2 linked regions of the Macaca fascicularis genome follow. The protein of the gene in region 1 purifies or fractionates together with the protein of each later gene. This does not show direct contact. Links are inferred from orthologs where the notes say so. Each region holds a gene or a part of one and is shown on either strand. Other genes may lie near its edges.

Evidence for each region.
Region 2: the proteins of SMAD1 (region 1) and SKI purify together in Homo sapiens (affinity purification with western blotting, with the first as the bait; 3 studies listed by BioGRID). This does not show direct contact. The link is inferred for Macaca fascicularis from reciprocal best matches to the Homo sapiens genes SMAD1 and SKI.

The regions. Positions count from the first base shown.
Region 1 is NC_088379.1:150,444,027-150,446,296, forward strand, and holds the end of SMAD1 (mothers against decapentaplegic homolog 1), read left to right. Parts: intron 1-363; coding exon 364-507; 3' UTR 508-1,758; downstream 1,759-2,270. UniProt on the Homo sapiens protein: Transcriptional modulator that plays a role in various cellular processes, including embryonic development, cell differentiation, and tissue homeostasis.
Region 2 is NC_088375.1:232,546,666-232,550,722, reverse strand, and holds the start of SKI (ski oncogene), read left to right. Parts: upstream 1-1,249; 5' UTR 1,250-1,697; coding exon 1,698-2,666; intron 2,667-4,057. UniProt on the Homo sapiens protein: May play a role in terminal differentiation of skeletal muscle cells but not in the determination of cells to the myogenic lineage. Functions as a repressor of TGF-beta signaling.

The sequences.
Region 1 (2,270 bases):
TAAAATGAGAATTTAATAATAGCTATTACATTACTATCAGAAATGGGCAATTAAAATAAAAGTTTTACAGTGCCTTTATTAAGACAACTTTATAATGTATTTTAAAATCTTCATTCCTCAAGACTGGTAATTCTTATTGGAATCCTTGGATGGACCCTGGGGAGCTAACATCCATCCTTTGAAATTGCCTGCCAAATTATATGTGTGTTTGTATATGTGTGTTTTTTTCTCCCCGGCGGCGGGGGGCAGGGAGGAAAGATGCATAGCTTTAATCAGAGTCTTGGTTATGTGAACCCTTCTTACTTAATAAGTTTAACCACTGAGTTAAAACAAGTTAAATGACCTCCAGTATGTTTTTCCTAGGGCTGGGGAGCAGAATACCACCGCCAGGATGTTACTAGCACCCCCTGCTGGATTGAGATACATCTGCACGGCCCCCTCCAGTGGCTGGATAAAGTTCTTACTCAAATGGGTTCACCTCATAATCCTATTTCATCTGTGTCTTAAATGGCCCCAGGCATCTGCCTCTTGAAAACTATTGAGCCTTGCATGTACTTGAAGGATGGATGAGTCAGACACGATTGAGAACTGACAAAGGAGCCTTGATAATACTTGACCTCTGTGACCAACTGTTGGATTCAGAAATTTAAACAACAAAACAAAACAAAAAAACCCACCTTGGTAACATACTGTTGATATCAAGAACCTGTTTAGTTTACATCGTAACATTCTATTGTAAAATCAAACTAAAATGCAGACTTTTAGCAGGACTTTGTGTATAGTTAAAGGAGAAATGGCCAAGCCAGGGACAAATTGTCTATTAGAAAATGGTCCTAAGAGATTCTTTGGTGTTTGGCACTTTAAGGTCATCGTTGGGCAGAAGTTTAGCATTAATAGTTGTTCTGAAACGTGTTTTATCAGGTTTAGAGCCCATGTTGAGTCTTCTTTTCATGGGTTTTCATAATATTTTAAAACTATTTGTTTAGCGATGGTTTTGTTTGTTTGTTTTCAGTAAAGGTTAGTCTTGATGATATACATAATAATCTTTCTAAAATTGTATACTGACCATACTTGCTGTCAGAATAATGCTAGGCATATGCTCTTTCCTAAATATGTATGTACAGAGTATTTGGAAGTTAAGAATTGATTAGACTAGTGAATTTAGGAGTATTTGAGGTGGGTGGGGGGAAGAGGGAAATGACAACTGCAAATGTAGACTATACTGTAAAAATTCAGTTTGTTGCTTTAAAGAAACAAACTGATATCTGAATTTTGCTGTGTTTCCATTTTTTAGAGATTTTTATCATTTTTTTCTCTCTCTTTTGGCATTCTTTTATCTCATGCTCTTCAAAAGGCAGTTCTGCAGCTGGTTAATTCATGTAACTGTGAGAACAAATGAATAATTCCTGCTATTCTGAAATTGCTTACATGTTTCAATACCAGTTATATGGAGTGCTTGAATTTAATAAGCAGTTTTTACGGAGTTTACAGTACAGAAATAGGCTTTAATTTTCAAGTGAATTTTTTGCCAAACTTAGTAACTGTTAAATATTTGGAGGATTTAAAGAACATCCCAGTTTGAATTCATTTCAAACTTTTTAAATTTTTTTGTACTATGTTTGGTTTTATCTTTCTTCTGTTAATCTTTTGTATTCACTTATGCTCTCGTACATTGAGTACTTTTATTCCAAAACTAGTGGGTTTTCTCTACTGGAAATTTTCAATAAACCTGTCATTATTGCTTACTTTGATTAAAAATTTGTCATTTCCTTTGTTCACCTACTAGATTTTAGGATCAGTAAAGTTTGCTACCCTTCTGAGAGTTTTTTTCTTAAATATCCTCCACCAAACATGAGTGAAATTACTATTTCAGAGACTGGACACAGCAGCATGAAGAGACTGGAGCCAATTTCAGTCACAAAACACAGGAGATGTACACCTTTAAAAATTAAGAAAAACTACAAAAATCTTACATGTATGAACTTTTTAATTCTAGAAATTATAGCAACAGCACTTGTTGGTTAGTACCAGGCAGTCAACCAAAGCAACAATTTCTAAACTTCAGATGAAGATACAAGCGTGACTGTGGGAGGAGGTAATAAAGGGGGAGGGATGAGAACTCACAGTGCAGCAGATGACGACTACCTTTGCAGTCAGTCTACTTAAGGCTGGGATGATCCCAACACTACCCATTCCCCCACAAAAAAGTTTCCCAATGAGGGACACAGATTGAAGGACACTTAGATTATTTCCTGCCCCAATAGATGCCA
Region 2 (4,057 bases), on another chromosome or scaffold:
CCGTCTCAGCGCTCCGAGGCCCTGGGGCGGAGGGCAAGGGTCTCGCCGGCCTGCCCGCCGGGACCCGCGGGACCGAAATTCTGATAAGCCACCTGGCCGGGGTGGCTGGCAAACCGGCCGCGTCGGGGGCACCCGACGCCGCCCCTCTCAGGCCCGAAACCCCTGGCCCGCGCATCAGGGACAGTCCGCCCGGGGCCGTCGGGCGGGGCGGGGCTGGCGCGGGCGGGAGCCGTGGACACTCGGCCACCGGGCCACGGGGCAGCGGGGGCCGCTGGGCTGCGCCGCCAGGGTCACGCGGCGCGGTGCCTGTCTCGGCGCGGGGTCCCTGGGCGTGGCCGCTGTCCCCCTCGTGTGTGGTACCCCAGGTCACCGTGTGGCGTCCCGGTAGTGTGTGGGACCCCAGAGGCGTCCGGGGCCTCCCCGCTGTGTGGCGTCCCACCCTGGGAGAACCCCGGCTGCGTGGCGTGGCCCCCCGGCCTCCCCCAGCTGGTTTGCGGTCGTGGCGGGGGCCTGTGGGTTTCTGGGCCCCGGCGGCGGCGAGACGGGCGCCTTCCCAGCCGCGCAGGAAGCGGCCTCGGCCGGAAGGGGGGCCCCGGGCGCCACCGCCGCCTCCGCCTCCGCCCGCGCCGAGCGGCCTTCGACGGGCGGGGCCGAGCGGGGCCGAGCGGAGTCGAGCATGGCCGAGCGGAGCCGAGTCCTGGCCGAGAGTAGCCGAGTCGTGGCAGGGCGGGTCCGAGCGTGGCCGAGTCCCGGGCGAGCGGAGCCGAGCGCGGCCGAGTCCGGGCGGGGAGCGCGCGTTCCTGGAAGAGCCCGACTGGGGAGCGGGTCACATTCTTGGCCAGCGCTCGGGCTGAGGCGGACGCACGGCAACAAACAGCGCGGGGGGCGGGGCCGGCGCGGGGCGGAGCAGGCGGCGCGGGGCGGGGCGGCGCGGCGGCGGCGTGAGCTCAGCGCCGGGCGCTCAGTCCGAGCCGGAGCGAGCCGCCGGGAGGATGTGCGCCGAGCGCCCCGAGCCCCGCGCCGCCGCCGCGCTCTGAGGGCCGCGGGCGAGAGGCGCCTCCGCCGCCCCGGAAGCCGGGCGGGCGGGCCGCGGAGCCGGCGGGCGGGCGGGCCGGGGGCCGGCGGCGGGCGCGACGCGGCCGGCCAGCGCCGCCGGGACGAGCCGGGCGGGCGCCGCGCGGTGGGAGGAGCGGGGCGGCGGCGGCGCGCCGCGCGAGGACGGCCCGGCGGGCCCCGCGCCCGCGCCCCCGCTCCTCCCGGGCCCCTCGGCCTCGGCCGCCGCGGCGATTCGCGCCTCGCGGCGCCGGCACCTGCCCGCGCGCCCCCCGCGAGCCCCGGGCCCGCGAGCGTTGGCGTTGGCGTTGGCGGCGCGCGCCGGGGCATGCCCCGCGCCTAGAGCCCGGGGGGCGCGCGGGGGACGCGCGGGGGGCCCGGGCGGCGGCGGGCGCGGCGCGGGGCGCGTGGATGTGGCGCCGGGCCCGGGCGGCGGCGGGCTCCAGCGGCGGGACCCCTTCGCCCCGCCCGCCTTCCCCTTCGCGCCCCCGGGCGAGGCCGCGGCCGTGATCGGCCGTGAGCCGGCGGCGGGGGGCGGCCGGGGTCGGGGCCGCGGGCGCCGCCGGGGCGCGCGGGGCGGCGGCGGGGGCCGGGGGGGCCCGGGCGCGCGGGAGCGGGAGCGGCCGGGGGAGACGGAGCGCACCATGGAGGCGGCGGCAGGCGGCCGCGGCTGCTTCCAGCCGCACCCGGGGCTGCAGAAGACGCTGGAGCAGTTCCACCTGAGCTCTATGAGCTCGCTGGGCGGCCCGGCCGCCTTCTCGGCGCGCTGGGCGCAGGAGGCCTACAAGAAGGAGAGCGCCAAGGAGGCGGGCGCGGCCGCGGTGCCGGCGCCGGTGCCCGCAGCCACCGAGCCGCCGCCCGTGCTGCACCTGCCCGCCATCCAGCCGCCGCCGCCCGTGCTGCCCGGTCCCTTCTTCATGCCGTCCGATCGCTCCACTGAGCGCTGCGAGACCGTGCTAGAAGGCGAGACCATCTCGTGCTTCGTGGTGGGAGGCGAGAAGCGTCTGTGTCTGCCGCAGATCCTCAACTCGGTGCTGCGCGACTTCTCGCTGCAGCAGATCAACTCGGTGTGCGACGAGCTCCACATCTACTGCTCGCGCTGCACGGCCGACCAGCTGGAGATCCTCAAAGTCATGGGCATCCTGCCCTTCTCGGCGCCCTCGTGCGGGCTCATCACCAAGACGGACGCCGAGCGCCTGTGCAACGCGCTGCTCTACGGCGGCGCCTACCCGCCGCCCTGCAAGAAGGAGCTGGCCGCCAGCCTGGCGCTGGGCCTGGAGCTCAGCGAGCGCAGCGTCCGCGTGTACCACGAGTGCTTCGGCAAGTGTAAGGGGCTGCTGGTGCCGGAGCTCTACAGCAGCCCGAGCGCCGCCTGCATCCAGTGCCTGGACTGCCGCCTCATGTACCCGCCGCACAAGTTCGTGGTGCACTCGCACAAGGCCCTGGAGAACCGGACCTGCCACTGGGGCTTCGACTCGGCCAACTGGCGGGCCTACATCCTGCTGAGCCAGGACTACACGGGCAAGGAGGAGCAGGCGCGCCTCGGTCGCTGCCTGGACGACGTGAAGGAGAAGTTCGACTACGGCAACAAGTACAAGCGGCGGGTGCCCCGGGTGAGTGGCCCCAGGCCTGGGAGCAGGGGTGGATGTGCTTGCGGTGGGGGACCCTTCTGGGCCACAGGCTCTGGTCTCCAAAGGCTGGGACCTGTGTTTCTGCCGTGCCCCATGTGTCAAGTCTTTGCTTTGTTTTAGGGAAATTCAGAGTGTTCCCCTTGGCAGGGCCAGAGGGTTTAGTAGGAAGGCCCTCCTGCCCTTTCCCCCAGGAGGAGCCTGGAGTGGGGGCTGTGGCGGTGGGGTGGGGGCTAGGCCTGGTGTGTGGGGAAGGCCCACAGGCCCATAGCCTTTGCCCAGATAGGATAGGAAGGCACAGGCCTCCTATGCTCCCGGGAAAGCGGCCTGCTCCGAGGTCAGGGAAGTTAGCTCCAGTTGGGCCCCAGCCGGATGCCTCAGGCCCAGGTCTTCCTTGGGGTTGGGGTGGAGGTGACTGCCCTCACCCCGAAGGCACCCAGCCTCGAAGACGGAGGGCTGCCTGCCCTTGGGCCCCAGGAGACAGAGCTTGGGCGAGACGAGGCCTGGTTTTGTTACTGGCTCCCGGTCCATGTTTGTTGCCTTGAAGTTTTGGGACAGAGACACAAAATGAAGCCAGGTGTTCAGGCTGCAGCGACAGGGGCCTGAGACTGGGCGGCTCCAGCACTGTGCTGGTTGGTCTCCCTGGGCCTGCCAGGGACCAAATCCCAGAGTGCCCCGTGTGGGGTGAGGGCCACTTGGCACCCGGCTGAGGGCCTGGTCAGCAGGCCCCTGGGCCCACATGCTGGAGTTACTGGCGGCTTGGGATTTGTTTTGGACTCACCCATTTCCTTCTCTCCTTCTGAAACGCAGAGGGGTGCGCCGGGGAGGGAGGCCGCTGGCCTGGCTTTGTAGTTTGCCAGTTGGAGGATCTACGGGATCCGGCATGGGCAGCTCCCAGGCCACGAGGCACCGAAATTACTCAGTGGGGTCCTCAGGAACTTTCCGTTGCATACCTCCCCAAGTATGTGTAACTTTTCTTTTAAATATCCAGGCTTATTAAATTGCACACACAGAATGCTGCATTGGCTCAGCTATTCTTGGGAGGCCTAATTAATTCAGCTATTGCATCAAACTTTTTTTTTCTGAATCTGTGAATAGATGCTCCAGCCCGGTTTTCTCTGGGCGCCCCTCCAGCAGAGTGTCAGATCGTGGGGAGGAGGGGCTGTGGATGGAAGCGAGGGACTGTCGCCTCTGCGCGGAGGGGGCTGCGGAGGGTGCATGTGCGTGTGCCTGTGTGTGTGCGTGTGTGTGTGCAGGGGTGCTTCTGACCCTGCCAGGCCAGGGCTCAGGTGGCAGCTGCCTGCAGACCTGTGGGCTGGGGACGGATGCTCGTGGCAGAGCTGCAGACAGACCTCGCAGGCTGGGACCCTTCATGT